4 linked regions of the Drosophila melanogaster genome follow. The protein of the gene in region 4 interacts with the protein of the main gene of each other region in a pairwise test. Each region holds a gene or a part of one and is shown on either strand. Other genes may lie near its edges.

Region 1 (7,547 bases), on a different chromosome or scaffold from region 4:
CTGAATCTGCCTTATGGAGTGGAGACCTTTCAAGAAAACGAATATTGTATATTTTTTCTTACATGCGTAATTTCTGTTAATATATTGCCATATGTACTTATTCATATATATTAACACAACTTACCTCTCAATACATGGTATTTTTAAGGTTATTTACTTCATTTTTAGCAAAGTGAGTAAATAAAACAAACCTATTTATATTGTAAAGCTTAAAATAAAAACTGTGCAATAAATAAAACTAAATAAACATTGATGTTTTTCCTATTCAAATATGACGGCAGGTATGAGGTATTCAAAAACTAGTGCTTAAAGAAATCCCCATGGGCATTTAAAAACTTTAACTTCATAGTCAAGCGCATGAGAAATCCATTTTTTATTATAATTTAAAACAAGATGAACGAAACGTTAAAACCCACTTTGGTGGACTGACTGGTGAGTACTGCCCTCCATGAACGAGTAAGGAAAATCAGAGTAGTCCAAAGTCCCCATAAAGTGTCTATTTGCATAAATCACAAGTGCAACCCCTCTAATAACACACAATAGGGTAAATTAGGCTATTGTGTGCGTTTGAATTAGTACAAGTACATTTTAGAGTGAACTAATCGCAAACTAAATTAAATTATATTATTAAATCACAAAAGAACTCAAAATAGAAAAGGATCACGATCATGAAAAATACTTTAAATATATTCTGTTTTTTCAATATTTTGTGTACTTATGTTATACTTACTGGCTCACCCTAATACATATATCTTATATGGGCGCCACGATTTTTCTTTTTATTTAAATTTCGACCTCAACCAGAAGCACAGCGCAATGATAAAACTGAAACCGGCCACTTTTCTTATTTTACTAGTTTTTCTTTTCGAAACCGGGTGCACGGAAAATTGGTTAGTGTAGTGCAGATTTATGAGTACTTTTATTTATTGGATTTTATTTCAGTCTGAGCAACGATATTCATGCATTAATTTTGGCCAGGGGAGGCAGCAAAGGCATCAAGCTGAAAAACCTGGCTGAAATTGGTGGCTCATCGCTTTTGGCCCGCACAATTATGACCATCAAAAATTCGACTTGCTTTCGACATATTTGGGTTTCCACAGATGACAAACGAATTGCCATTGAGGCACAAAAGTGTGAGCATTAAATATTATTATAGTGAATATATCTTTTAAACTCTTGAGCACTTTAGATGGTGCCATAATACATCATCGGCCTGAGAAATTCGCCAGAGACGACACTCCTTCACTTCATGCCATTTCGGAGTTCCTAGATGTTCATAGAAGTATTCATGACTTTGCTCTATTCCAATGCACATCTGTATTCCTGAAAACCAAGTATATTCAAGAGGCTGTTCGAAAGTTTGAGTCCCATGACTGTGTTTTTGCCGCTAAGAGGTACACTATGCTCTAAGAAAAATGTAGATGTTTAAAAATCTATGATCTATTTCAGATCACATTATCTGCGATGGAAGGTGGTCGATGGTGAATTGATGCCAGCGGAATTCGATTTGAGTGCCAGGCCAAGACGCCAAGATTGGCAGGGTGATATTGTAGAGACAGGAATGTTTTACTTCTCGAGGAGGAAACTGGTGGACAGTGGGCTACTGCAAAACAATAGGTGCTCCGTTGTGGAAATCGATGCCAAGGATAGTCTGGAAATTGACTCTAGCCACGATCTGACTCTAGCCAAATACATCTTAAGTAGTGAAACAAAAACCGAGTTATAGAAATAGATATGCTATTCATCAAAGAAAGTGTAAAGTTCATTGATCTTGAATGTTGGTTTGATTTTGTAGTTTAGGCTTCACACTTTTTGTTGGCCAGGCTATCACGGAAGTGTAGCGACTGATTCGCTTGGTCAGGAGGCGTGGAATGAGGGCGTTGCTGGTGGGTCTCAGGACCAAGCAAGTCCTGCCAAACCGAGCGACACACAGGGAGGTTGGGCTGGATGGATTGGTCCTCGCAAATGATGCACCACCCATGGATCGGGGTAATGGCGACTTCTTGCTGCCGGCTTGATCGTCTTGGGTGGCCTTGGCATCCTTGACATCCTGGGGTTTCTCCTGAACCTGGGCCTTCTTGTTAAATATGGGCTTTATACCATCCTGATTGTGGGATCTTTCGCTGGACTTTAGTGACTTTTCCTTGGATGGGTAGAAGCTGCTGCGTCGCTGGCTTGGTTTCAAGGGGCAGCAGACACTTTGGGCTTGTTGCTGCTGCTGCTGTGATTGGAACACCTGTTGGTTGTTGAAGGGTCCCAGGCAGTGGCAACAAGGATGGGGGTGCGTCCTGCACTGGGAACACTGGTTGCACAAGGATTGGCACGAGCAACAGGGATAAAATCCTCCAGAAATCGGAATATTCGGCTGCTGCTGCAGCGCACAAGTGGAGGTTCCGAGAACTGGGTGCATCATGTGCTGGCTGATCTGACCACCTAATCCCATAGAAGGATGTGATTCCATGCTCGACAAAGGACAGCAGGATGTACCACCGTTGTAGCAGCCGTTTGCAAAACTCTCCGGCTTCAACATGCAGCAGTTGCTTCCGTTGGCTGGACATTGATACTGATTGCCCATCTGCATTGGGCAGACTTGACTCGTCCTCGACGGACAGCAATTGCTGCACGTGCAGCAGGAGCAGCTGGACATGCTGCTCGGCGTGGCGCACAGGAACTGCTGGCCAGGATACATGACAGGACAACCCGATGTTGCCGTCCCCGGCTGATTCATGTGCATAAAACTGATGGTCACATATGGCGAGTTGTTGGTCGGTTGAACTCGCACGTTCGGGTGTTGCTGCAGCGTCAAATGCTGCTGCATATGTTGCTGCTGCTGCTGCAGCACATTCTGCTGCATGTTCTGATGTTGCAGCAAGGACATTTGCTGTTGATGCTGCTCATTCAGCGACGGTTGTCGCTGTTGTTGCTGTTGCTCCCGATTTAATTTTAAAAGTTTTTGTCGGACCTGGGCTGCAGTTTGAAGGGATAACTTCCGAGCGGCTTGTACAGTGTTACCTGGGGAATAAAGAGGGAGGAAGGAACATAAATATAGAAGCAATCTAAAATGAATAATATAACCTTTCTGGTTGCTATTGCTGGTGGTTGGATACTGCGGAAAGGCTTTGTCCGTCTGGGATCCTGCATTAGAAATGGCGTAGGAACGCGAGGTCTGCTGCGTCTGACACTTGCCGGTTTGGTCTTCCTTCGACTGTTCTATGTCCTGTTGAATCCGATTCCTAGCCAAAGCATCCTCGAGAACCACGAACGAAGGTCTATTCGCCAGATCCTTGTTGCAGATCTTAACGAAAGGCGGCAAAGTTTCGGTTTTCTTGATCTCCTCTATGGACTTGTCATTCTTGCTCTTCTCCAGCTTTTCAGTTGAGTCATCATCGATGTCATTTGAATTCCCTTTGAGCACAGCTATGCACTCTTTCTTGGTTTCCTTAGTGCCATTCGTCAGTGGGGAGTTACTACTGTCTGCTCCGCTTTGGGGATTCTTGCATTCCTGATTAAGTGAGCTAATTTCGATGAGACCATCAGTGCCCACGGTAATCATGAAACAGCATTTGGCCACCGTTTCGTCATTTGATTTGGCCAATTGCCCTGATGATTCATTCTCGCCTGGGGCCTCCATTTTCCTGAATTTTGATGTGTTTTCCGGGTGTTGTGAGTTGATGTTTCCTAACGCATATCAAAAAGTATATCAGGCGACAAATGTACTGTCAACTTTGAAATGCTCATCGAAACTGGATTTCCCTTACTGTGTAAGTAGTGACCAAAACGTTCTTGGTGTTTAAGATTTTAGAACCATATTAATATTAATAAGATAAAATTATTTAAAAACTTGAAACAGTATTTATTTCTTAAAATAATTCAAATTATATACTAGAGAAGCAAGTCTGGTATCAATCAGTATGTCTCAGCTTTATGATGTCAAACATTTCTACACCTTTTGTGCTTTAACATGTACACAAAATTGTCATATCCGTGAGTTGGCCTCTCCGGGTGGTGAAGAGTTGAAGATGTTCTGCACGGAGAGCTGTGAGCACGGATGCAATGCAACCTCGTCGGGCAAGCTGATCGCCAATGGAAACGGTGGCGGCCTGCAGTCGCAGGGAAATTCACAGCATCAGTTCACCATGTCCTACGCTCCACTGTCGACCAACGATGTGCCCTCCAAGTCCGAGGTGGAACCACCGCGACTGGGCATGTGCCTGGTCACCGAGTGTCCAGAGGGTCTGAGGTAATTTATACATGAATTTCCATGAAAAGTGATTCGATTTCTACTCCCTTCCTCTCCAGCATTGACTGCAATGTGCCACTGCCGAATTCTTTCAATTTGGATGAATACAAAAATCACATGATCTGCTCGAGCTGTACCCAGTTCAATGGTGGCTTGGACAGATTTGGCCAGCCAGGTACAGCCGGTCCAAGTGCCAGTCCTAGTGCCAATCCATATCCAACTCCGATGCCCAATCCCATCCAGGCCTCTCCTTGCAGCTTTCATGGCCAGTGTTGTTCAGCCGGTGGACCATGCGCTGGATATGATTCGCAGCCAAATCCATCAAGATGCTATCGACAGGAATCATCGTTGGCTCAAGGAGCCCCAGCGATGCCGCAGATCTTTTGCCTGGCACCACCCAGTTCCCATGGTGGCTTAAATCAGCCCGTTTACTTGTGCAGCCTGATTCCAGTTCCGCCATCGTGGAACCTGGTGCCGCTGGCCCAACCGCAGCACTTGACGCATCAGCAGCTGCTGACGAATCCCGCACAGGACTCGCAGCTGCCGTTGCAGCAATTGGTGCAGTACGACCTGTCCTTCAATCGCCTGCTGGCCGAATTGCGCAAGGAACGGGAGAGGTCCTGTTGTGACCTGCAGATCCCCCAGCCTCTGGCTTTCCAGCTGTATGCGCCCACGGTTAGGTTTCTAGATCAGCCAGATTCCAGTTCGGCGAAGAGAGAGCCTCATTGCCCGCCGGCAGCTCCTTGTGCTCCTCCAGCTGCACCACCACAACCACCATCCTCGTCATCATCCCCAACAGCCACATCTGCCTCCGCCGCCGGGCTGCCAAGAGCTCGTTCGGCCAGCCCGAAGCGCAGTCGTTCGTGTCTCCGGAACAAGGATCTCTGGGACAGTGGCGGATCCGTACCAGGTCCATCCCCCTGCTCCTCGCCCACCCAACATGCGACCGGAAATGTGTGCATGAAGTGCGGAAACTGCTGGCATTGTCCGCGCTGCAACTGCTCCAACTGCTTCTGGCATCCCGGCTTGGTGCGAGCTCCTCCAAGAGATGGTCGCTAGGGAAGGGGACTAAGAGCCACTCCTACACTGTAAAAGAAGAAAGTGTAATAAAATTCCAAGACTTTTAAGCAAGCAGCTTGCCACTATTTCTTAATTGAATTCAATAATAAGAATATTTATTCTTGCAATATGAAGAGAGAGTCACTTTTAAGGTTTTTTTTTCGTTTATTAGTTTGTAATATTTAAACCCTATTTATAAATATTTTATGATACATAAAAAATGAATTCTTTCACAATTTCTACAGCAGCTAGGACTTATATCACAAGTAATGTTCGTTAAACAATGAACTGTAATTAAAAGTAATTATCGATCAGCCTGCATGTTCATAAAGCTAGCCACGTAGTTGGACATGACCGAGTTTATTCCGAAATGGTCGTTTCTGGGCTCAAGGGGTTGGGATTGCAAATTCCGGTGGCCGGGCAAGATCAGCGAAGCTGGCGGCAAGGGAGTTCTTATTTGGCAAGGATACGGATCCGTTCCCAGCTCAGAAATCCTTGTGCGACAACGCCTCACTTTCCGGGCAGAGGGACTAACTTGGGTGCAGGTCCTGCTGCTGGATTGGCAATACGGAGGTGGCGGAAGGAGAAATCTTTGCTGCAGCTCAACTGCCGTGGTATGCGACTCGGGTGCTTGGTAGTTCTGCTGCTCATGGTAGGCTTGGATGCGTTGTTGATACGCCACTGATTCCTGGTAGGCAGTTGAGTATATGTAGGATGGATCGTACAGGAAGGCCTGTTGCTGCATTATATAAGTCTCCGTGTTCATATGGGCATCTGGATGCACAAAGTGCTGTTGCTGCTGCTGCTGCGGCGATTGTGCTTCTGGTTGCTGTTGTATCAGCAACTGGTGCCGCTGCAAATGCTGCTGCTGCTGTTGGAGTTGCTGCTGCTGGTGCCAGGACCAGGCCAGAGCCTTCTCCTCCAGCTGGCGCTGCTGGTTAGCCATCTTCAGCTCGAGAGTTTTCATATCGGATCTCAGTTGGTGCTGCAGTTGCTCCCTGTCCAACTTGAACTTCTCCTCCACTTTCTTGAATTGCTCCATTTTGAGCTGGAACAATCGCTTCTCCTCCGCATGCTGTCGCTCGCAGATCAGACGCTCATCCAAGACCTTCTTCATGGACTTGCTCAGGTGATGCAGTTGATTCCTCTCACGGTTCTTGATCCGCTGATACAAGACTCTCAACTGCTGCAGATTATCCTTCCCCGCTTGCTGCTGTTGCTGGAAAATCGCTTCGTGTTGCTGCTGACTGGCTGGCAATTTGAAATGATGTTGCAGGTATGGTTGATTCTGGATGTGCAGCTGCTGCTTGTGGAATAGCTGATTTTGATTCGTGTAGTTATCAGCATTTTGGGGATTCCATTGGAAGGATACCTCGTGGGCGACAGACGCCTCAATAGTCGGATGTGGCCCGAGATTTTGATTCATTCGATCGGAGGCGTTATTGTTGCACGTGATGGATTGGTGGTATGCATCCTCGTTGCAGACATTCGGTTGCACAATGTGGTGAATTAACTGCTGACACAGTGCCGTTTGTCCGAAATCTTCAGGGGATCCTGATCTTACGGGAGCCAGGTCTTGCACAGGAACCTGGCTTTGTGTGGAAGAGTAAAGGAAGCCGATGGCCTGTGGTTGCTCAGGTGACTCAAGCTCCTCATCTGGTTGTGGATCAACCTGTTCAGGACTCCCTAATTCCTGGGTATGTCGCACTTCCTCCTCCTCTACCTTCTTCATCATCACCTCCTCGTCCACCTCCTCGCCCACTTCCTCCTTCACTATCGTCATGCACTCCACGTCACAGCAGCCCACTTCGATTTCCGGCTCCCCTTTCGAATCACCACACTCTCCCTCTGGATTGTGCCACGAAAAGTAGGGATAGTGCTGGCGTTTGGAGTTGCTAGTTCTTATCACACTTTCACGCTGGCTCTGCAGGATTTTGCGGTTTATCTTTTCCGATTCCGAGACAAACTCGACTTCCTTCTTCACAAAGTCGTACAGCATAATGTTCATTTCATCATTATCGCATAGTTGACTCTGCTCTCCAATTTCTGTTTCCAGATCGGGCATGCTAAGGGGTAACTCCCTTGGATTTTGGAACACTTCGTTTGGCTCATCAATGCATTCTTCTTGCTTAATGTCCGTAGTTTCGGGATCATGGTTGGCTTCATTGGATTTTGGATAACATGCCTCCTTCATTTTCTTAGCCACGTATCGAGGACGACCCGAACCGATCGGAAATTTCAGCATTCG
Region 2 (7,619 bases), on a different chromosome or scaffold from region 4:
CATAATAATCTATTTAAATTATATTTTATTATCTTCTAATTTCTGTACTTGCTGCGACATGATTAGCGACTTTTGGCTTGAAAACAGCTTTGCTCACATCATTGTTTCAAGTTGCCACAAAAATGAAGCCTCTCTTGCCGTTGTTAAATTCATTTTAAGTCCCAAAATCAGCCAGCAGACAACGGAGTTTTGTGAAGAGTCAAAATGGAGTATATAACTGAAGTTTAATTTGTTTTTACAAGCATAATTATGAGCTATGATCGCTACGCAATTTTTCCCCTAAAGTGAACCAGGCAAATCATTGCCGAGAAAAGTTCCAGAGTAAAAATTTCATGTATTTCAACATCTGCAGAGCAGTGAAACAGAAAGATACTTAGACTAAACGCTTTTTAAACGCTAAATAATCAAACATGGGGTAACACTACGGCAGCACATAGATTATCCCATGGATTATCCTCAACTCCTTTCCCATTTGACTGTATTTTGAATTACTTTGAGCACTCTGCTTTTGTTGAACCCTTGCTGACGACTTGTTTGTTTATTTGTTTGCCTTTCGACAACCGCGAAGCTTCAACCGAATGAAAATGGGTATGGGAAAGTGGGCTGCCCCTGATGAGGTTGCAAACACCTTGCGGCTAACAAGTGTACAGCTCCCAGAATCCCATTCCAACAGAATCCATTCCAACCAACCCGCAATCCATTGTCAGCCGGCTTTTTCAGCCATCACAATCACATCTCACTGACATACCCTGTCAAGGGTTCGTTAATTGGGGTGCAGAGTGTATAAATTTATAAGAAACTACAGCTTAGGATAATATACCATTCAATTTAAATATTTAAATACATGGTTTCTTGTGTGCATTACTATTCAATAAATAAAAAATAAATCAAAAATGCTTTCAGTCTTTAGTCAGATCATTTAGTTTAGTAATTTAGTTAGTAATATAAGCAGTCTGAAGTTATGTATTGTATCTTTACTACTACTATCTTTAGAATGTATAAACTTCGTTCTGATCGCCGTTTAGCTGCCGACACCTTTGCTTTTCGGCTGCATTCCATTTCGTTGTGTATTTTCGATTTTAAACGCAAGCGGCGAATGCAAGTCACGGCTGACAGGGGCACCACCCAGATCCACAGAGAACCACCCAGACCAGCTTCACCATTGGGTGGCACCACCCAGCTCGCGATTCCGAGGGAATGCGCAGGTGTGCGCTGAAAAACATGCTAAACCGCCCGGCTGACGTTAAGCGATTTTCGAATGAATTGAAACTTGCTATTGTTGCGGCACCGAATCGTTTACCTTTTTGTGGCATGAAAGGATGTGCGACGATGGGTGTGGCAAATGCGAGTGTGTGCAAACAATTTGGCGGATTAAATGAGTCCCAAATGAGACGTTTTTATGCCCGCCACACACACATTTTATGCAACATCATAAAGTCCATTGCGGACTTAGCCAAAGCCGATGCTCAATGCTTCAGCTCGACTAAGCTCGAACCATTCGTTCTAATGAAATGAAGAGAAAAGCGAAGAGCACTTTCAAATAAATCCCCCATCGAATAATGCCAAAAATTAAGTTATTTCTTTTCGATATTGAATTTATCAGGAGAGACATGAGACGGCGGCATACGTGTCCTGAATAGCTATGCCACAAATGCGTGTGGCAGCGGTCCAACCGACATCCGATGCCAGCCATTAAAAGTGTCGCTTGTATTTAAATATTCAATTGTCTCACGGACAAGGATGTGAAACATTTAAAAATGCGCTGTCTTTCCTGAGAAGGGATCCTTTTAGGAAATGAGGGAGCATCCGAGCCAAATTCGGTTATTCAATTGGTTTGTTGCCTAGTAAATGACACCCGATGGTCTTTGAATTTTAAAATAAGGAATCCAAGGTGTATGTTCCAGGACGTGTTCTCAGTTGGCACATTTCTTTTTTCTTTTTTTTTTTTTTTTGGCTGGAGGGTGGATTTGGTTTGGTTTCCATTTGACTACGATATCCGCCTTCCATTGAATTCCACCCACAAAATGGGTGCGATTGTTATTTACATTCTTTTGGGCTGCATTTGCTTTTATGTGGTGGCAATTTATTCAAATTGAGACATTAGACAAATTAAATTTACACGTATCACCCTTGATTGTTACCGCCTGTATATTCGTTTAATTATGACATTATTCAAAACAGTTCATTTGCATTTCGTAATACAAATAAACATTTACGGTTATTCCGTTTGGATATGAAAAAAAAACCAATTTAAGACCATCGTATTTGGAAAACAATATGTTGAACAGTTTTACAAGCAACGTGAATGCCATCCAAGAAGTATGCAAACCCATATTCCAATCTTCTAGCAAGAAATTATCTACATTAATAGAGAAATGTATTGCTCACCTTTTATTCTAAACATTACAGATACATTTCAGATATTTAAATGTACTTCATTTAAAACACTCAAAAAAATGGTCTGTTGAGGTACGTTAACTTCCTTCTTTTTATGGACCCAAAAAGTATGCTTTGCTTTTCTTTTCTTCTTTCGAAAGTATCTTGCAGTTTTAGCTTAAGTTTCCAGACTTTTAACTTCTACCTTTTGAGCTCGTATATATAATTCAAAAATCTTCGGTGGTTTTAAAATTCTTAGTGACTTAAATGCGATGGAAGATGTCCGCACTCTGCGGTATGATATCCAATGGGATGTTTTCGAGGGCATGCAAATAGTTGACATCAATTCAAAGCATGTATGGTCAGAGAAATGTAAAGTTTAGATGTTAAAATTGAAATATATGTAGGTACTATGACATGGTGATCGAGTTCATGTGGTCCAATTCGTTTCTGAAAAGTCTTGTCTATGAGAGTCTGGGACTATTCGATTTGCCGGACATGAAACAGACTTATTCTTGGTAATGTGCTTTTATAAAAAAGTTATGAACAAATGTAGAGTAATAAAACATTATTGGAATATTGTTATAAAGGTATGTGCGACACATCCTGCGAAACGAGTGCTCCGTGATGATGATTAGCGAAGATGAAACGCAAATAAGGGCAGTGGGATTGCTGGAATGGATGACCGAGGAATGGCACTCCTGGTATGATCAATAAATCCACTATCATTTGCCTAATATATACTAGTAACATGTCTGTTTTTATTACAGGGTCTTCTTTCCCTCTTCGTTGCCCAGGAATCTGTTCCAGCAGATCATAATGATGAAGAAGGAGCTCATCGATGCGACCAAAGCGAACATGGGCATCTCCACCTACGATGCACTGTTCGTCCACGAGATCGCCTTTCCGGATGAGCTCTACTTTAACCGGGATTTCCTGTCGACCATCTTCGATGTCTTTGGCTTTGTGGCCCAGCACATGCACATGCCGCGGGTCAGCTTCATCGCCCTCAGCTCCGTGGACCAGGAGGCCGCCAGTCTGATCGATTACGAAGAGATCGGGCGGACTATCTACTCGATCTACAAGGTTGGCAACACCCGGCCCTTTGACATCCTTCGCGAGCTAGACGAGATGTACGCACTGCTGTTTGAACTGGCCGTCTCGCCGGTACTGAAGTACATTGAAATGCCCGGTTTCGAGGAGTTCCACGAGGCCCTGGATGCCAGGTTGGCCAAGGAGGCAGCCGAAAAGCGCCACGACGACGATATTTGATATGTTTCCTGCTGTCTTCTTCACATAAATGTCTGCCTACTCTTGGGCTACCCCATCGTAATTCCCCCAGCTTCCCTTTCACAATTACTTAATTGCAGGCACCATCGTGGAGTGCCAATTTTGACGGGGGGGGTGGAATAGTGGAATGTTTCCAAGCAGTCGGTGATAAGCCTATCAATACGATCCCCATGCCATGGCGATAGTGCTGCCTACACAGGCAAAAATATGCTTGCATTGACCCAATCAAAACGTAGTACAGCATTCAATTCAATTTTATAACATTTTCCATATAGAAATTGCTAAGTGTAATGAAATATATTAAAATGTTTATTATGTAGATAAAGAGATGCTTTTAAATGCTGTTACCTTTACACTACCAATTTTGTTATAGAACTAAAATAATAATCTTTCCAACTGACTTATAATTTGGAACCGTTCTTGGCGGCCAACAGGATATTGAGGACATCGTCGGCACAGCCCCAGCACAAAGTGACTCCACTGCCGCCATGTCCATAGTTGTGGATGAGGAGCTTGCGGCCGCGGCGCTCGGCTTCCAGTCGGAGTTGGGTGCGACCCGGCCGGAGACCTACCCAATCAAAGAGGCACTCCGTGTGCTCCAAACCAGGAATGTACCGCTGACAGCCATCGACGATCATCCGCCTGTCGTTCTGGCAGACTTTAGTGTTGTAGTCCCGCTCCTGATGGGTTCCGCCCAGGACAACACTTTCGGTGCTTAAATATTTCAGATATTGGAATACGAACAAATAAGTGTAACTGGCAAATACTCACTTGGGTATAATATAGTTGCCATCATCACTCTCGTCCAGCACGGCAGAGAAAATCCAGTTGGCCCTCACCCGGGAAACTTGGCCACGCACTGCGTACATTTGATCGTCGTTTAGTAGGGTCTTAGAGCCCAATCCGGAGCAATTGACTATCACATCGTACTCGGAATCGGCTACAAATGCATCCAGGTCTGTAATCCTTTTCCGGACAACAACACCTCCATTTCGGGTGAAACGCTTCATCAAATACGGCAGTAGCTTAATGGGCTCCGAGGTGTAGGTAACAAAGGATAAACCAGACCTAGATATGGTTTAGATATGTTCATATTTCAGCAAGTATAAATCTATGGATATCTATGAATATTCTTACGTGAACTTAACGCTGCGACCTTTATTGTAGGCAGCCAGCTGTTCCTTGGACAGATCCACTGCTCCATAGACAATGTCACGCCAAAAATCTTCGACCGTGTCCACCGTTGAGGTGCTCAGCCGAATGCAGGGTAGCAGACAAACGCCAGCCTCTCCGGCATCCTCGCTCAGCCAGATCTTCTCCAAAAATTGGTGCATGCTCTTCGACCACTTGCTGATGGAAAAAAAGTTATAAGTAAGAATATAATATAGTGACTAGTAAAACTTACTAGACTTTCGCCTGCGAAGTGCCGCCCAGAAGGTACGGACCCCAGAGACCAGCCGAACCATCTCCAGTTGTGTTAGGCGTGAAGTCCTCCGATATGATCGTCACCTTTATGGGTGTCTTTCCATCGTTCACATAGTGTTCCAGTATCTTAATGGCACTGGCAACACCATTAACCCCGGCACCGATAACTGCAATGTTAGGCATTGCTCCAATCCGATCAGCTTGGGAACTTGGAATGAACTGAAAAGAGGATCGCTTATCAGAATTGTAAGCAAATCGCATAATACAATTAGCTGATAACAGAGCTTTTAAAAAGAGCGAAAAAGCTTTTTGCATTTTGAATCTAATATTAACTCTTTCTTAAAATCTAGTAGGCTATAATTCCAACAAGTTGGCCTTGCATTTCATCTCAAACGGAACCGAATATGTGTGTTGGGATGTGTTGATCATTCCTCATTCGATACCAAACTCTCGGACCTTTCGTTTCGGCCAGCTTCTAAATTTTCCAAATTCCAAATTTTTCTTCCAAATTAATTTGACCAAATAGAGTAAGTTTATCCCGGGAAGACCATAGTATATTTTTAAATCCTTTGTCCTGTAGCGCTCGACGGGCTCAAGATGTGTGACGGATGTGGATCGTTGGAGGTGAGTAACCATATGCAACACACCACTGACCACTTGTGACCACTATGTATGCATCCTTTCCAGCCGCGCGGATGCCGCAGTCGGGAGTTACGATGCGGCATCATGTACACCACTTGCGACTGCGTGAAGCGGAACGGTCTGCAGGACAAGTGCCCGCGGTCCGCCTGCCAGGGCCGACCGGCCTGCCTGTGCTTCCCCTTCCCCACCTGCGGTCCGGCGGCATTCCCGCTGCGCTACGCTAACATGATGATGGGCGTGAACAATAAGCGTATGCGCTGTGCCGCCACTGGAGCACCAAATGGCGGTGCCGGATGCGGTGGACGCGTTGCCGGCGGCTGCTGTGGATGCGGTCCCTGCTGCTGTAATGTATCGCCCTGCTGTGGCCCGCACAGTCCTCCATGCTGTGGCTCGCACAGTCTTCCATGCTGTGGCCCGCACAGTCCTCCATGCGGAGCTCCGTCGCCCATTCCTTGCTCCTCTGCTCCGGGCATGTGCTGCCCTCCGCTGCCTGAAGGCGGCATTCCCGATCCGCGTGTCTGGAACTACTATAACGCACCTGTGACGTACCCATGTAAGTCCGGTCCAGGTCCGTCCACCTGTCCGCCTGTCTGTCCGTCTGCTTGTCCATCTGTCACGGCGCTGGGCGTCCGTAGAACGTAAAAACCATGGAGCGGAGGAGCACGAGGCATGCCCAAGGACTTTGCAGGTCACAGCATCTGGAACATGTGCTTGTGGTGACGCTTCATGTCCTTTTGCAGGAGCTTTATGCCCACTACGCTGATCCGTCAACAATGATAGCATGTCCTGGGCTTTGTGAGCGTAGAGGTAGGATCCATGGACCAAATGCTGTTGCCAGGCCCCAAATCCTTCATGACCCTTTGACCTCCATCCGCATCCTGTCGCGTGTAAGTAACTGCGATACCTTCTGCATTCACTGGTTTTACCTTTCTCATCCCACAGGTGGCTTATAAGTATTTCCTGGCAAGTGTTTCGATCGGATCCTGATATGGGCCACTTCCTTGGCGGGACATGTTGTCGTTTTGTGACGTAGTTTTGGTTGATAAAAAATTGAAGTTGGCTTAAATCAAGATTTAGCCAGCTGCGGAATACCCATTACTAGAAGGGCTCGAAGCTATTTGGGAACCCATGTGCAATTCGTCAGACGGTCTTGATTTAAACACAAAATCATATGTTGGTATCTGGAATCTATTTGGCATTAAATTACAAATAAACAAATTGAAATTATATTCTGTGTATTATGGGGGGTGTTAAAGGTTGCGTTTATTTTATGGCTGCACTTATGCTTCGAATATTTATATTTTAAGCCTGGCATTAGAATTGTAAATTAAGGTTGAAACCTTATGCCAAGGCCATAAAAATTTACGTTCATATGTCCCACAGATATTCTGATATTTATATTAATTAATATCAATTTTATTAGGGTGGGTTTCCGTGGCATTTAAGATTTAATTAATTAAAAGTTGAACTTTGCTGATAGTACTTTGTTTTAAACCCATTTTTTCGAGCTGGGAGAGCCATGTTCCAATCTTAGTGAGTTAGTTGACCTAAACAATTCGCGGGTCAAATATTTTGTTTTAGTGAATAAGGCAAATATAGATATATAATTATGTAGATCTGTGGCGATTTCATAATCTTTGCTAAGTCGAAGTAGGCCATGAAATTTCATAAAGTTGGCCATGACTTTTAAGCCAACCCGAACCGAAACTTGAACTGGATGTGCTGGGCCAAGGGAACAGCTAACCTCATTCGATATCTGACTCTCGGACCAGTCGCTTCGACTTCTAAATTTTTTTCTAAATTCCAAATTTACTTTTTCGATAATAACTCAACCAAAAAAGTGAGTGTTAAGTATTTGTTCAAAAAGTATAACATCTTAACTTTTC
Region 3 (8,121 bases), on a different chromosome or scaffold from region 4:
AGAACTCTGGCCGTGTACGCCGGCGTTGAGCATATGCAGGGCCGTGGCCACCGACTGGAGGACGGTCTGTTCGTTGACATTGGGGCCAACGGTGCGTATGGTCTTGGGCAGTGAGATGTCGTCTAGCTCCTCGCCACTGTCGTGGCAGGCGCGTAGTCGTTCCAGTCGCTTCTCCCAGAACAGCTGTTTCGGCTTCTCCCGAGTGCCATGCTTGGGTTCATTCTTCGCTTTGGCGGGATCCTGTTTATGGTTGCGAATCACCGTCACCGGTTGCTTGAAGATCGAGGCAGTCTGTCGAATGGGAGGCACCAGGGAGACATCAGTGCGCAGGGCTCGGCTGTAAGGGATTAAAGATTGGAAATGTATTAGAGAAACGCCTTCAAAAAGCTAAAACACCGAACAGCACATTAGACAAAGCGTAAAGTAAAGCTTTAGCATGCAGAGATGGTGGAACATAAATCTCAGGTGGCACAGAGCTACAGCGTTTTTGAAGACAACTACGAATTGTTTTGCCAATTGTGTGTTTCTTTGGGTATTTTTTCATTTGATGCTTTTTAATTGCCGCAGGCTGTAGACCTTGCGTCCTGGCAAACAAGACATGACACGCTGACATGCAAGAGTCAAGTGCTCATCCACTTGGCTCTACCTGAGTTCGATCTGTTGCTGCTGGCGATTGGCCGTTGATGGTGAAGCAGATGCTGCTGTCGCTGTTGCTGCTGACGAGGCGGTCGCTGCCGGAGGAGCAGCTCCTGCTGCTCCTGCAGCATTGCCTCCTTGACTCCGGGCGAACTTGCGCTTGAGGGCATTGGCCGCCGATCCGCTGGTGGCCCCATTACCGCCCCCGCTTGCTATAGGCAGCGGCATGGCGCTGCAGCGGTACAGCGAAATGGAGGGCGAGGGCAGGGCGCAGTGCGGCATTTTGCCAGGCTGGAAATCAGGGATTGCAATGTCCTGTGGCTTTCCCTCCGCCCTTTTTCCTGTGGGACTGCTGAACAGACACGGCGGTGGATGGATATTTTTGGTGGGTTAGGTGGTAGTTCGTGTGCGTGTGTATACATAGGCGTATGCGTGTGTGTGGTGTATATGGTGTGTGTGTGTGTGGTTATGCGGATGTAATAACAGAAAGGTAGTGAAAGTGATTATAAACGTTTATCCGATTAAACAGCGTGCAGTGTTCCGATTTTAGGTATATAGTAGTCTATATAGTAATTCTGCTCTTCTTCTTTACCTGTAGTAGAAAACATCCACCTTGTTATTGTTGTTGTTGCTGCTGGCTGTGGCACTGCTGTTGTTGTTGCTGCTGGCGTTGTTATTGGCGCTGCTGCCGGACTTTCGGACCTCGTCGCGCTGCCATCCCTTTGGCAGGACACTGCAGTCGACGCGTTTGCGCTCGATTGTGACGCTCGGGTTCATTTGCATGCTCGCCGAAATAAATAATTAACAATTCCACAAAAGCAGCGTCTGGGCTAGCAGTGTGGCCGTACTGCGGATGGCCACAAATGCCGGATGGCACAATAGTGATGCTAGATTACATTCTCCAATATATTTATGATTTGAATTTAAAGGTACCAATGGGAAAATGAAAATAATTTAAAAGGTATTTATTTAAAAACAGAAACCTTAAGATGTTACACCTTGCACATTTTTCATTTCCTTTAAGCTTAATTCGCTAGTTAATCAGCAGTAGACCAATCTCACCTGGCCACACTGCCCAACACCTGATGTGAACATTTCACAGCACTGGTGGGCCAACTAATAAGAAAAAGAAGCAGCAGAAAAGGCGACGTAAGAAATTCCGGAGTTTTCATTCGCATTTTCCAGTCTACGAAACGGAATATGTAAATCCAGCCCATTGATAGACCTAGCCCACTCATCGCCACCTCGCGACAGTTGCCAACTTCCACGCGCAACGCCTGCCGCGAGCAGTAGAACCATCGAAGCGACCTCCCACTCGATCCAATTGGGAATTTTACACCTGGGACAAGTGGCAGCTGCTGGGAACCAAGAGACATGTCTTCGTCGGCCATTTTCGTTCTGGACGTGAAGGGCAAGGTGCTGATATCGCGGAACTACCGCGGTGACAACATCGACATGGCCGTGATCGACAAATTCATGCCATTGCTGATGGAGCGCGAGGAGGAGGGCCTAATCACTCCGATCCTTCAGACGGCGGAGACTACATTTGCCTACATCAAAACGAACAATCTTTATATCGTATCCACGACGCCGCGCAATAAGAACGTTAATATCGCTCTGGTCTTCGTCTTTCTGCACAAGATCGCGCAGGTCTTTGTGGAATACTTCAAGGAGCTGGAGGAGGAGTCCATTCGGGACAATTTCGTGATCATCTACGAGCTGCTGGATGAATTGCTCGACTTTGGCTACCCGCAGACCACCGACTCGAAAATTCTACAGGAATACATTACGCAGGAGGGTCATAAGCTGGAGCTACAGCCCCGCATCCCGGTGGCCGTGACCAATGCAGTATCCTGGCGGTCCGAGGGCATTAAGTATCGCAAGAACGAGGTGTTCCTGGACGTTATCGAGTCGGTGAATCTTCTCGCAAACGCCAATGGCAATGTGCTGCGCAGCGAGATCGTGGGCGCCATTAAGATGCGCGTCTACTTGTCGGGAATGCCAGAGCTGCGACTGGGTCTCAACGACAAGGTTCTGTTCGAGAGCACGGGCCGCGGCAAGTCAAAGTCCGTAGAGCTGGAGGACGTCAAGTTCCACCAGTGCGTGCGGTTGTCACGCTTCGAGAATGACCGGACAATCTCGTTCATTCCTCCGGACGGCGAGTTCGAACTGATGTCCTATCGTCTGAACACGCATGTGAGTATTTTTATGTACTTAGCACCAAAATGCAAGACTAACTAAACCCCTGTTGACAGGTCAAACCCCTGATTTGGATCGAATCAGTGATCGAGCGGCATGCCCACTCCCGTGTGGAGTACATGATTAAGGCGAAGTCTCAGTTCAAGCGAAGATCGACGGCCAACAACGTGGAAATCGTCATACCAGTGCCCGCCGACGCGGACTCACCCAAGTTCAAGACCACCATTGGAAGCTGCAAGTACGCACCGGAGCAGAACGCAATCATCTGGACGATCAAATCGTTCCCGGGTGGCAAGGAGTATCTAATGCGGGCACATTTCGGTCTGCCGAGCGTGGAAAGCGAGGACAATACGGAGGGCAAGCCGCCAATTCAGGTGCGCTTCGAGATTCCCTACTTTACCACGTCGGGCATCCAGGTGCGCTATCTGAAGATCATCGAGAAGAGCGGCTATCAGGCGCTGCCATGGGTGCGGTACATCACGCAGAACGGCGACTATCAGCTACGCACCAATTGAAAGGGGCAACTCCCGTTCCTGCATCATTCCAGCCAAGCTTCAGCGAGTCATCCTGCAACAGGTAGCTTCATCTCCACCCGCGTTTTTGTCTGCGATGCGTTGCGTTAAGTCAAAAGTATATATTTGTATTCGTATTGTTTCAGTATATGTATATTGTATGTAAATCAAATTTAATAAATTTTAACACCTTTTCATAACACCTGCACCAGAGTGGGTCACTTTGTATGTGCAAATTAAGACCTAGGATGCAACCAAGTTTATCCTCTTCGTTGGTCAGAGAAAACCCAAAAACCCAAAGTGTCTAATTTCACATATCCACCGACCCACCTGTACAGATGAGTCATAACAAACGGGTTGAACCCACAAAAAACTGTTTGCCTATTGCTTAATCATAATAAATGCACTTTCGATCGAGTCTCTCGGTTCGTTTTGATTTCTGATTTGTTAGCATCTTTATGGCACCTATCTGGAATCTATTTCTCAAAGTCCTTCAAGGGATAGTGCTCCTTGTGGGCCTCGATATGTTTTTCCAGCTCGCTACGCTGCTCAATCAAATGATCCGGCATCTCCGCGTAGACGCCTTCGAACATCTCACGCCAGTTGGGCTTGAGTTTCTTCTCGGACACTGCGATCTGCTTCAAAACCTTTTTCCTTATGTCCTTGACATATTCGTTTTCGACAGTCTCGTCAAACCAGCCTTTGTGCACCATGTAGCGCTTAAGCTTGGATATTGGGTGCTCCACCGAGTTCCAAATCTCGATCTCCTCCGCTGGTCGGTAGGCTGTACTATCATCTGAGGTGGAATGGTGACCCACTCGATAGGCCAGTGCCTCGAACACCACCGGCTTGTTCTCCTTGAGGACATACTCCCTGGCAGCCTTCATCGCATTATAGACGGCGAAGACGTCTGTGCCATCCACTCGAATGGTAGTAATTCCATAGCCCATAGGTCCGCGACCGGCGATTCCATCGCCCTTGTACTGTTCATGCGATGGTGTGGATATGGCAAAGCCGTTGTTTCGACTGTGGAGAAAGGTACGTCATGAAGAAACTTATTTGAATGGTATTTTTGATAAGATAAGAAATACATCCAAAATAGGTTATCTTATCAAAATAATATGTATCTTAAAGTTACTCACCAGAAGAGGATAGCCGGACAACCCAAAGTGGCAGCAAAGTTAAAGGCAGCATGTGCATCTCCCTCGGAAGCAGCTCCCTCACCAAAGTAACAGACCACACAGGCATCGTTGTTTGGCCTCAATTTCATGGCGTAGGCGGCACCAACGGCCTGGGGCATTTGGGTGGCTGCCATACAACAGAGAAACTGGATAAGCATTCTCTCATCAAATAAATAAGACTATATTAACTCACAAAGCGGACTGGAGATGGTGACAAAGTTAAGTTCCCTTGAGCCGTAGTGGACGGGCATCTGCTTGCCGCGACCCAAGTCGTCCGTGTTGCCGTAGCACTGATCGATAAACTGGTCGATACGGAAGCCACGCCAAACCAGAACACCCGCTTCACGATACTGCCCGTAGATGAGATCCCGCATCTCCAAGGCGGCGGCACTGCCAATGTGTGAAGCCTCCTCGCCGAAATTGGTCATGTAGAATGAGATTCTGCCCTGTCGCTGGGATTCGTACAGGATTTTGTCCATGGTGTTCAGCAGCACCATATCGCGAAACATTTTCTCCACAACCTCACGGCCCAGCTGGGGATCCTGGGTCTCATCCGCTATATAGCCATCCTGGTCCATCACCCGGTAAATTGGTATTGGCGCATAGTCTTCCGGTTGAATGAGGTTCAATTTGCTGACAAATGGAGCCTTGGCACCGGGGAAATTGGCGTAATCTTCCGATGGCTTTGAGCTGAAGTCCCGCGCAGCTGTCGAGATCGCTCCTTCAATCTGTCATGGGTAAAACCAAACAAATAACAACATACCCCTCTGATCACTCCAAGTACTGACCACTTTCAGGTGTCGTTGGCGCCTCGCCACAGAACCCAATAGGTGCACCGATTTTCGCAGGAATGACATGGTATATAATTTGTGTCTAATCTATTAAATGCAACAGGTAATTTTGAAGATTCAGCTGCGTGTTTCCCAGCTGATTACGCAACACAATACCATATCGATAAGTCTCAATCAATCGATGTTTAAGTGATTGGCTATCGAGATCTCCAAAAAAAATTTCTAATGGATTTTATTAAATTATTATTATTTTCATTTCCATTTTAATTGATTTATCCCGATGTTGAGGCTACATTTTCATATTGAAGGTTATACTACTGTATGTATTTACAATATAGTTTTCTTTATCTGATACATTTTTCTCATTAATAACTTAAAATAAACCCCAAGAATTAATATCCGTTTAATAATAACGATGGCTAACGCAGGATAATATGTTAGCAAGGGTTCGTTTTAAATACGCGCCAAACAAATATCGATAGACGCAGCTACCCATCGTGCGTATACTTAATATTTTCGTTTTCCTTGAGCCACCTTTCGCTTTCGACACCATGGCAGCAGTAGAAGAAGCACAATTCTGGCAAGCGATTGGAATACTGATCAAAAACTATCATGCTTTGAATAAAAAGATATTCGAGGTAGTCATTACCCAAGTGACAAAGCAGCAGAATGGGCGAGTGTGTGAATCCAGTGCGGAGGAGTTGGCGATGTCTCTAAAAGAGGATCCAAGCCAGCGCACGTGCACAGGATTTACGATCGGATTCAAACTGCTGTCCAAGAAACTGGCGGAAAACATCCTAGGCACCGGAATTGTGGGTGAGGATAATCACAATATTACTTACTTCTTAGACAATTCTTATTATATTCCTAATTACAGATTTTGAGAATTGTCTCTATGAGTGCCAATTTGCCAGCGATAGCATTGAAGGCTTTTCCGTGGGCCTCCTTGGAGGAGAGTTTAAACTGAAGTCCAAATCGAACACCAACTGGTTGGAATTTGTGCTCAGACCAAAGCTCTTAAGCTGGTCTCAGTCCAAGCAGGATGAAGCAAAGGTGAAGTCACTAGGTTTGGTTAATGTGGAAAAGTACAATGATCTGTACAAGGAGTTGAAACAGAGGCATTCACAACGCCTGCTGGAACACTGGAAGACCGCACAGGAGTCCACGGATCCGCTCAAGTTCATTTACGAGGATTTGGCTATCGCTGCTTATCTTATAGTTTTGTGGAGTCAAACACAATCGGAGCCCACTGCCTTCGCTGATTTGGGTTGTGGAAACGGTCTGTTAGTTCATGTCCTCAACGCCGAGGGCTACAAAGGGTATGGCTACGATATAAGAAAGCGAAAGCTATGGTCCCTCTATCCACCGGATACCCAAAGGAGCCTCATTGAAAAGGCCGTGGAGCCCAACAGCTTCCGCTTGGATTTTCCGGGTGTGGATTGGTTGATTGGTAACCATTCGGACGAGTTGTCTCCTTGGCTACCGGTTTTGGCTGGTCGTTTGAACATTAACTATTTCCTACTGCCCTGCTGTCCCTTTGAACTGTCGGGAGCCAAGTTTCGCAGGCGGAATACGAAGATAAGTGCCTACCAGGATTTCTTTCAATACGTCACTCAGGTCTCTCATGAATGTGGCTATGAGATCCTACAAGACCGTCTAAAAATACCAAGCACCAAGCGATTGGCTCTGCTGGGAATTAAGAGAAAAGCCTCAAAGGCTATTGAAGATCTGGAGTACTTTGTCCAAGAAGAGCTAAGAAAGTATAAGACCGGAGATGCCAAAATTAAGCTGCGCGAGAAGGAGGAGAGCGTTCGAAATTGCACGCAGGTGGATAAGACCATAATTGATGGTCTAGTGTTTAAGATCTTCAAACTGATTCTGGACTCTAACGAAGATAAATGGTCTGGTCGTCTGCCCATGAGAGAGATTGCCCAGGCTCTCACCAAGGAGGAGCTGAGTGGCATTAAATCCGAGTGCGGCGGCATCAAAACATTGCTGCGCAATAAACACGAAGTTTTCGAATTCTGCGGTGGTGATCTCATAGGAATAAGAACCCCTAAACCAACGGCTACTCTCCCCAAATCCCATTTGACCATCAAGAAACGTAGCTGCTTTTTCAAGCTTCATCATCCGCTGGGATGTCCTCTCGATGATGCTGAGTGCTCGTTTATACACTAAGCTAACTCTCTATGTGTGTGGTATTTGCTCACCTTTATTATTTGGATTATAATATAAAGAAAAGTGCAATAATCGTGTCAATTGTAGAAACTAGGAGTCGATCAGTGTCCTCTAACGAGAGCTGTCACTGCTATTGCTGCGGCGTCGACGACGAATGGGGGAGCGGGAGCGACGCCGTGGTGAACGCCGGTTCCTCATGGGTGACTGACGACGTCCGCCGCCGCCGCCACCACCTCCTCCACGATTGTTGAACCTATTGAACTGGGGTGGGGATCGCCAGCGGTTGTTTTGCGGACGGCGCATCGGTGGCGAAGGACGACGCATGGGCGGCCTCTGTTTTACTAAGACAACCGGGGATACCGTAATCTCCTGGCCATCTATCTGCCCGCCATCCATATGCTTCATGGCCGACTCACAATCCTCGGGTGTGGCATATTCCACAAACGCCACGCCGCGTCCGAAGTTAGGATGAAAACGATCTACGGGAAACTCCACATTCTTCACATCCCCAAAGCTGCTAAATATCTCGAACACATGGTCCTTGGTAACGTTGCGGGTAAGCCGACCGACATGAATGCGCACCTGTTTGGGCGAAGGCGAGCGAGTCCGCGAACGGGAGCGCTC
Region 4 (8,990 bases):
TCGTAGAAAGTAAGATAGAATGCAGCTATTGTAAGAAAATAAACTACTATCAATACTTAAGAACAAGCATTATTTCAGTTAGTTATTTGTTTTGCTTGCTATTTTGGATCTAACGTTTTTGGTTACATAATTCTTAGAAATACCTCTACCTTTAATAGTTGTCTGGAAATTCGCCTCGCTTTCCTATTTCTAAGTGTGCCAAACTTGATAAGCCATAAAATAAATTTGCAACACGTGGGTTATATCTATATTACGGCATTCGAAAAATGTTTTGAGTGGGAAAAAGCGTGCCATAAAAGCAGGTTTAGCAAATTAAGTATACGCCGCGTGGCGGCAATGAGAAATGTGTTCGTAATAGTTCAGTAGTTCTTCCTCGCTCAGATGGATTGCAATTGTAAATCAATTGATTATTCATAGATCGGAGTGAATTGTTCTGACAGGTGACTGCTGATTATTATCTCGTCTATATTGAGTAATATAAATATTAGCTAATGACTCATGATTTGCATACTGCATTTCCTGTGACTTAATTTTTGTTGTATGTATGATGTTTGTTGTCATGTATATTCCACAAATGTAACTTTGAGTGCAATGAACTTTTTGTGGCTGGCAAATTGGGTTAGCACATGCAATGTATCCCTATTGCCTGGATTTATGTCAACCTCGAGCACAATTAAAATCAATAGAGAGCGCAGTGAAATCATTCAGGTGTCTGACAATTCCTGCAGGACATTCGTCAGTCACATTTATTGCTGGCTAGTGGAAAGTTCGACAATGGAGCTGCGTCGGAAAATCGCTCTGCATATTCTGCCCCTATTTTTAGCCATATTTCTATTCACCATGGGCGAGGCATATCTGAAGAGTGTCCGCGTGGATGAGATTCCCTTTGCCGGAAGAAAGGCCCTGGCCAATCGGCGGTCCAGCGGTATTCATCTCATCTCCAGTCTGGAGCATCAGCGCACTTTTCTTCATCTCTTCCATGTGCCCTGTAAGTTAAGCAATCTATTTCGCAATCGAAAGTGTTATATACAAGAATGGGCCATAGTTTTTCCACATTTAACTAGAATGTTCTAGATCAAGATCTCTGTATTTTGAACAAGGATTAGAACATAGGTTTCTGTGTGATATCTTCCCAATTTACAATAGTTCTTTTCAGTTTAAAAGACATCCACAACGCATTGAAATCATTTTAAGAGACGAATACGGCTAAGCCTAAAAGTATGCTATACTTTTTCACAATTTATCATATGTCGCAAGGAAACAATGAATAAACTTCTTTAGCAACTAAAATATTTAAATTTTTATCTCCTCAAGCATATGAATACTTTTATTAAGGCTAGCAGAATTACAAATCGCTTAAATTTTTACATTTCAGACATCATATGCTTTTATGCCGCGAAGGGCAAATGGCCATATGTGCCTGGATTCATGAAATACCGGGTTGACAATGCAGCTCGCAGTTTCTTCAATCAGAACGACAGTTTCATCAAACAGTTTTGCACCAAGTGGATTCAGGTGAAGGAGTGCTTTCGTCCCTTATTCGGTGGGTGGCAACTCTTTATGGAGTTCAGACATAGATTGACCTATTTAGGCACCTCTTTCCAGACAAATCAAATAACACAGATGTTGAAGTGGAAACGCTCGATGCAAAAATTCAGGGACAGCGTTGTAATTGTGACAAATTGTTGCTCTCAACGGAGCCACCTGTACCGGTCGTCTACTTCGACAAGAACTACATTGGAAACGTCAGTTCGGAAACGATTTTGAATACCATTGAGTTTCTTGAGAGTTTCCTGCCACCGCCCACTAAAAAACACAAGCGCAAGAATCGCGTTCGCGGGCGCGTAGATGATATGGATATTGAATAGAAATCGTTCTTTTTCATTCGCATATACCTTCGTAACGCACTTAGATTTTAATCATCACAATCATAACCAAAAAATCATCGCTTAAATTTGAATTCAAATTCGGTTGTCAACAGTTTTCTAGAGATAAGTGGTACACTATCTGTAATGCTCAGAATATTATGGCAAAATAAAAATTCTTTAATTAACAGAGCGCAACTTAGCTTGTTAATATAGATTCTTGTTCATGTTTTTGTATTAAATGTAAAAATATTTATTAAAAATTGCTTTAAATGTTTTTTATCGATAGGCATAGCTATACCGATATTAGTCGATAGATATGCAGCTGGTCTTAGTTTATCGATAGTACTATCGAAATTGTCATCGCCAATTGGATTCTGGTATATATTCGCGGTCGCCGGACGGTCACACTTATTGCACTTACTCCAGTTGGAAAGGCAACAGTGTTCGCGTCGCGGAAGAAACAAGAAAGAAAAACAGCGAGAAGCACTGCAAATGCATTGGCTGCATTTAAAGAACAACCGCGATTAGAGGAAGTGTCTCAGTACACAGTCGAATTAGCCATACAAATTGGCAAAAGTGTTATAAAAGAGAAGCGCGGTGGTGTGCCAACAGCCCAAGAGCAAATTCTTTTGCATTCGCTTTTGAACCGCTTTCATCGCGAGTTCCCGTTTCTCTGTGTGCGTGAGCAAAGAGCGTGTGCAAATAACTTTTTGCCGCGTTGTCCGCCTGCTGCGAATTTCCAACCGAAAGAGGACAGCGAGAGCGCGAGAAGAGAAGAGAGGATCGAGTGATCGGGTGAATGTCGCTGAAACACCAGAAGCAATCCTACCAACCGCTCCCAACGGCGGCCGCCATGGACAATCCGGCGATGATCCAGAGCAGCGGTAGCAGTGGGAGCAGCTCCTCTGAGGAGGGCGGGAGTCGTGAGGATGTGGCCAATCTATCGCCGCTCGGACTGCCTACGACCTACTCGTCACAGCAATTGATGCCCTCGGATACGGACAGCATGGAGGAGGAGCGGCACCGACTGCGTCCCCACCACCATCACCACCACCCACTGGGCGAGCACCACCACATCCCGGGCATACCACCATCCGCCGTCGTGCCATCGCGTCTCTCCAGCGTGGGCAGATCGCAGTGGTTCACCGTTACCGTGCTATGCTTCGTCAACCTCATCAACTACATGGATCGCTTTACGATCGCAGGTGAGTCCGGTGATACCTCTTTGGGTGTCCTATGGGATTCCATACGTTTTTTGGGGGGCTTGTTGCCGCAGTAGATAGGAAAATTTGTTGACACTATTGAAGAAGATTGCTATAGACCGCTGTAAAAATCACAACTTTTGTGTGACCAAAAGATTGGGCAGCCCAAAGCACTTATAGTATGTATTCATTTATATATCAGGCAAAAGAATAATAAAAACATTTAAATTGCACAAAATCTGCTGACAAAATCATAATGTTATTAATTAGCAGCCGCTAATCAACAATACTTGTGACCTAATCAGTTGAAATTTATACCTCATCGTCGACAATGCGAGTCGTCGCGTTCCCATTGTTTACAAAATGTACCATAAAGATTGCGAGCGAGAGAATTTGATTAGTGACTAATCTACTTACAAGTGAATCACGCGATCCAAAAATATTCATACAGAGCATTTTATCATTCGATTCGCTTTGCACCGAAACTCGGGACATTTCCACTGGGTGGGCAATCAATCAAGACCCATTTCGCCTAAACCTAAACATATGTATATTATTTCTAGCACTCAGGTGCGATAAAATGGAGTGAGTGAGCACGGCGGTGGCGGCACCTGACCTGCTTAGCACGGCGGGTAATGGTAGTTGCGATCGGCGATCAGAAAGTCCCCCGCCCGCGTGACAATTACAGGGTAATCTCATGTTTCAGTCGATAAATACAGACACACTGCCCACATAATTGTTGAGTTTATTATTATTAAGAACATTAGCGAAGGAAATTGATCTTAATTCATGCGGGCGGCATTTCATTGGACACTTGTTGAGTGCCGAAGTTCTTTTCACTGTTTACTTGTGTCTGGAAAATGAGACTACTACCGATTGCACTTGCACTTCGACTGGCGACATCTTAGTTACACAAAACGCGGTGCAAATCGATTGGAAACTTGTTTCAGGTTACATGGCGAAACAAGTTGTGACTGATTATTATACGTACAAGTCCGCCTCAGACGACCGTTTAATATGCATTTCTAAATATGTGTATATTATAGCTATAGTTTCGCATTTTCTTCGTGAACCTGAACAGCCAGTTCTTCCTGAGTCAGCAGAACTTTTCCACTCAAGGCCATGTGATAACGTCTTTTACTGTATGTGTAGTTGCAATTAATTTGCAATTATAAATCACTGGCTATTAGTTATCAGTTGATTGCCGCAGCGGCAATTGGAAATCGATCTTACAACCCTTTTTTTTCGGTTGCAAATCATAAGCTTTTGATTCGTGTAAAGCCACCGGATCGAGTGACTAAAAAAACATCATACGACTTTTTGCAACAGAACAGGAAGTGGAATTACTCACCGAAAAGGGGCGATAGCACTTACATACCGAGCCAAACAAAATCGCTGTTTACATATTATATTTAATATAAACACACATCGCTACTCGCCACTCGGAAATTTTCATTATTTCCATGGGCGCCTAATTGATTGTTTATTTTGAGAATTCTGCGAGCGCAAGGCGAAATAGAAAACTCATATAAACAATGGTCGGTCGCACAAGGTTTTTGTTTTGCCATTTCTGCCAGTGGCATTGTTATCATTATCAACCCCCCCCCCACTTTTTTGGGCCTTATCAAGAAGTGGCTGAAACCAGACGCGCTGCATAATCAATTGCATTGGATCACCAGCTGCAGTGCACGTGGTGTTTTGGGTCACTTTTTTGCAGTGATTAGATTACCAAGCGATTATTTGTTTAGCTTCTGCTAACTGACTGCTCTGATTGCTTGGCCCTTTTGTATTTAATGTGAATTTCGGCATTTGCAACGTTTCCGTGTGGTTGTATATAACAAGCAAAAATACATGCATACATATGCATATATTTATTTGGCGCACATAGACGTGTGTATCAGCTGATGTCTGCCCAACCTAATGGAATGCATTTAATTATAATTTTAAGTGCGTCTCGGCCTTTGGCTTCGACCTCCGACTTTGCTGAAATTCGCCTGGTTTTTTAAGCTAAAACCGACCGACTGACGGTAGTGGTGTGATGTTTTGTAACCACCTCGTTCGGTCAAAAAAAAAAAAAAAACACTGGGAAGCCCCCCTCTTCATTCATGATCGTGATCTGTGTGAGGGTGGATGGGAAGGGGGGGGCGGGGCTATTCTGTTGTTGACAGTAAATTCAATTTCTGCACCGACAGCGAACTTTGATCATCGCAAAAAGAACTGGCATTTATTTTGGTCAACAGATATGTGGGCTGAGATATATAGACCAAGTTGCCGTTCTGCTATGCTTCCGACGTAATTTTCTTGGCCCCCATCCAAAGCAAGCGATCACAATAATTGTCTATGTCAATTGATCGAGTTGAGATTTCGGTGGCATACATATATCTGTTTTTAGTTATTTTCAAGTCTTTTGCAATCACTTTTACTTTTTTTTTGCCATTTTTCAACGTTTGTTTTGCATATTTTGCATTTGTTTAAACCCAAAAGTCACTGAGTTCGGTTTTTTATATATTCGCTTTAAATGTTTTTTTTTCTGCGAAAGATACATAAAAACTTTCCATTTTGTTGCCATCGCAGTTGGGGAAAGAAATAACAATGAAAAGAAAATATAAAATATGCAGCCTTGACAAACCGAAATTGTCAATACCCTTGGAAAATAACCACCAACTGAGTGAAATTACTCACACTGAAATTTACTGAATCAATTCCATTGCATAAACATTTGTCCAAACGATATTTCTAAATATGGCACAAACTTGTGGATAGTTTACTTACGTATGCCTCAAATTTGAATAGGTTCTTTGGTTACACAAAACGCGTGGATGTAACAAATGCACATTTCCTTAGCGTATTTTGCATTTTTGTTTGAGGCTTGCGCGCTCATTCAACGTCAATGGTTCTATTCTGCATTCAAGATACGTTTTTTGGGTCAACGACCTACGCAAAGTGCAGTGCACACTTTTTGCCGCAACAAATTCAATTAACGAAAGGCAAAAAAACTATCCGAAGAATAGTAGAAAAAAGGTTGGGGTAGGGAATGTCTGGAACGCGATGGTTGGGGAACACTTTTCTGTGGGCGCCGCCGCTTTCACAATTAATTTCCACCTGGCCCGCCGAAAAGAAAGCAAGAAAGTTTTTCTCTAAACACAATTCGAGTGCTCCGCTAAGCATTCAAATGCATTCCAAGCGAAAGTCACAGCCTCAGTGAGTTTTTATCTTTTTGGTTTTCGTTTTTTTTTGGGTTTTGACTTCGACTCGTGGCCGAAATATCTGTCAGAAATTCGTCGTTTATTCATCGTCCGATTTTAAAGCTTACGCTGCATATCGCGCGATTTTTCAAGGCCGACGTCATCAGACGCCACAGAACATGGGGGGTCAGAGGGAGATAGACTGCTGTTGTGCCGAAAGAGAGGGAGAGAGTGACTGAGAACAGTCACTTTCGGACGCAAACAACTTTTTCATTCATTCATGGTAATGAGAGTCCCGGCTTTGTTGTTGTGGCTTCTGCAGTTGCCTGGTTATAAATATTGGCTTTTTAAACGGATCAACGTTCTACAGATTTCTCTGGCCACAGTACAGTGCATTTTTATAGTAATAAGCTTCGTTGAAATTGGAAAAATAAAACACTTCAAAATTTCGACTTCTGGAATTTGTACTGCTCAAGTAATAGAAATTATTTTGAGATAAACGTACATACATTTCAGAGTCTTTTAGTAAATACCACTAGTCATTGTCTGGTTTCCAGAAAGTTCCACCTTTGGGGAAGTCCAAATATTATTTGTAATAAAACCTAGCATTGCGAATCCCACTGTCGCGTTTATTGGGCACAAGAGAGAACAAACCAAAGAGAGAATTTGGCCAGAGAGATAAACAGGTTCTAAAAATGCGGCAGCCGGCTAAAAAAGAATACTAATACTAAATACATTGACGAAACTTCCCCAAAAGTGGGGAAAATGGTAATGAGAGGGAGGTATGTATGTATCTACGTATTCCTTTGACTTCTTTTGTTTTTGGCCAAGAAGTGCCCATAAACATTAGGAATTCCTTGCGTGGAATGAGATTACTCGTTAAGTGTGCGAGATAGCAATAATATAAATATACATATGTATATATCATAAGGAATGCCTCACCCAGACCAGCCCCACTGTGTCCCCCCTCCGCCTCTCTCCGCCAGCCACTCTCAGTCCACAATCGCAATGCAGTACACACACACACGCACACAGACTTATCGCGTGGCGTCCCCCAACCGTTACGTCACTAGGCAAGGCAAACAAACACGCTGATTGGTCGAAAAACATCGTACGATAAATTTCTCAAATCGAAATGAGCGAAAAGACCCAGAAAATGGAATAATTAAAAAGCAAAGGCTGATTCACTGCAACTTGGCTGCTTCGTGCCACGTTTCGCTTCGGTTCGCGGGGGTTCGTGGAGCTTCGGCTCTCTCTCTCTCTTGAGGTCTCTTTGCGGCTCTCTTTTTCGTTCGCTCGCTCTCCTTCTTTGGGGCACAACTTGTTGAGCTTTCTGTGTGTCATTGTTGTTGCTGCTGCATTTGCCGGCTTCTGATCTCAGACACTCTCTCTCTCCTTCTCTTCCCCACTCTCACTCTCTCCCATCGCCCACTTGATTTTGTGGGCCGTTGTTTATTTTTGGGTACTCAAGCACTTTAGGTAGTTATTTTATTTTGGCCATTCCGCAAAGGCCAATGTACGAAGAGAGACGCATAGAAATACGGAGCTTAATAGCGGTTTTTGTTTTTATTTTGAGCTGCATGTAGAATGTAGGAAGTAGCGTTAGATCGGCTAACAGTTATTGACGAAGGTCGTTTGTCAATTAATTCGCTAGTTGCACATCCGTTTGTTAATGAATTTTTAAACGTCGCAAAGCTGAAGACGAGACGTGCAGGAAATACATGACCACACAGCTGAGAAAATGTGTGCGAAGGTGATCGCAGCGATCGATATTCAAATCATGACACAGATTTTCATCAGATCGATACATTGATTATCGGAGCTACGAAATAACTAGTAAGATAATGATATTTCGATATTTCAACACTTCGATTGTTACCAATTGAAAAGCTATCCTTCAGCTGATAAAAAGTTGCGGATCTTATCAGTACTTACTATTCGAGACTATAAACAGCATGATTATGATATATTTACATTTTCAATGTTATTTTAAGATAAATAATGACATTGAGATCCAACATATTGTCACACCCTTGACTATCGATTGCAGATATTATTACCACTACAAAGATATCGACAAAAATGGGCGTTGTATCAACTTTGATCAATTAAAGTTGGTACTATCTATATAGGCTTCTCTTTAATAGATATCGATGGGTTTATTATGGCACTCTGGGGAAAATATGATGACCCATAAAAGCATACGCCACATTTCCGGAATTTTCTCGCCGTCATAGTGGGGCTCCAATGACTGGGGAGTGCTAATTATAGATACATCCATCTGCCCTGCTAAACTGAACAATTTGGGACTTACGTAAAACACTCGAATATAGCAAGCTTGTATTAACGATTTATATGGTTTGTCAATTAACAACTCCCGCTGAGGATGGGCTGATATGTACGAAGTACAATGTATACAATGTATATCACACATCACGCGAATTCCTAATACATAATGCCAATAAAAGAGTAATACATAATACTGTATGTTCATTTACATTTCCACCGATACCACTTTTCTAAAATGTACATTTCGAAAAGGATCTAATCTCCGCTTTTCATCCTTTCATCTTCCAGGAGTTCTCACAGATGTCCGAAATGATTTCGATATTGGCAATGATAGTGCCGGACTTCTCCAGACGGTCTTCGTTATCTCGTACATGGTATGCGCCCCCATCTTCGGCTATCTGGGCGATCGTTACTCCCGCCCCTGGATAATGGCGGTGGGCGTGGGT

What was found.
Region 1: the proteins of spin (region 4) and hale interact in a two-hybrid assay, tested with the Drosophila melanogaster proteins (one large-scale study listed by BioGRID).
Region 2: the proteins of spin (region 4) and CG17377 interact in a two-hybrid assay, tested with the Drosophila melanogaster proteins (one large-scale study listed by BioGRID).
Region 3: the proteins of spin (region 4) and AP-1mu interact in a two-hybrid assay, tested with the Drosophila melanogaster proteins (one large-scale study listed by BioGRID).

The regions. Positions count from the first base shown.
Region 1 is NT_037436.4:19,982,248-19,989,794, reverse strand, and holds hale (hale-bopp), read left to right. Parts: upstream 1-3,926; 5' UTR 3,927-4,019; coding exon 4,020-4,240; intron 4,241-4,299; coding exon 4,300-5,299; 3' UTR 5,300-5,369; downstream 5,370-7,547. Other genes in the region: Csas (CMP-sialic acid synthase), read left to right, coding at 817-890, 943-1,133, 1,190-1,394, 1,450-1,726; schuy (schumacher-levy), read right to left, coding at 1,763-3,012, 3,076-3,631; CG17732 (uncharacterized protein), read right to left, coding at 5,604-7,547.
Region 2 is NT_033779.5:6,800,707-6,808,325, reverse strand, and holds CG17377 (uncharacterized protein), read left to right. Parts: upstream 1-5,536; 5' UTR 5,537-5,618; intron 5,619-5,671; 5' UTR 5,672-5,688; coding exon 5,689-5,715; intron 5,716-5,778; coding exon 5,779-6,375; 3' UTR 6,376-6,473; coding exon of another isoform or gene 6,474-6,475; 3' UTR 6,476-6,618; exon of another isoform or gene 6,619-6,620; intron 6,621-6,675; coding exon of another isoform or gene 6,676-6,686; 3' UTR 6,687-6,948; downstream 6,949-7,619. Other genes in the region: CG17375 (uncharacterized protein), read left to right, coding at 2,649-2,728, 2,784-2,894, 2,967-3,080, 3,147-3,648; Daao2 (D-amino acid oxidase 2), read right to left, coding at 4,068-4,380, 4,438-4,734, 4,804-5,016, 5,072-5,274.
Region 3 is NT_033777.3:9,553,139-9,561,259, reverse strand, and holds AP-1mu (adaptor protein complex 1, mu subunit), read left to right. Parts: upstream 1-1,734; 5' UTR 1,735-2,010; coding exon 2,011-2,832; intron 2,833-2,891; coding exon 2,892-3,350; 3' UTR 3,351-3,548; downstream 3,549-8,121. Other genes in the region: MBD-like (Methyl-CpG binding domain protein-like), read right to left, coding at 1-337, 647-988, 1,229-1,419; BckdhA (branched chain keto acid dehydrogenase E1 subunit alpha), read right to left, coding at 3,824-4,373, 4,490-4,655, 4,722-5,256, 5,317-5,385; CG9386 (uncharacterized protein), read left to right, coding at 5,871-6,135, 6,197-7,497; RnpS1 (RNA-binding protein S1), read right to left, coding at 7,609-8,121.
Region 4 is NT_033778.4:16,122,710-16,131,699, forward strand, and holds the start of spin (spinster), read left to right. Parts: upstream 1-2,271; 5' UTR 2,272-2,667; coding exon 2,668-3,073; intron 3,074-8,832; coding exon 8,833-8,990. Other genes in the region: CG30095 (uncharacterized protein), read left to right, coding at 775-988, 1,376-1,543, 1,606-1,868. UniProt on the Drosophila melanogaster protein: Probable sphingolipid transporter that plays a central role in endosomes and/or lysosomes storage. Involved in TGF-beta-mediated synaptic growth regulation both pre- and postsynaptically via its function in endosomal storage regulation.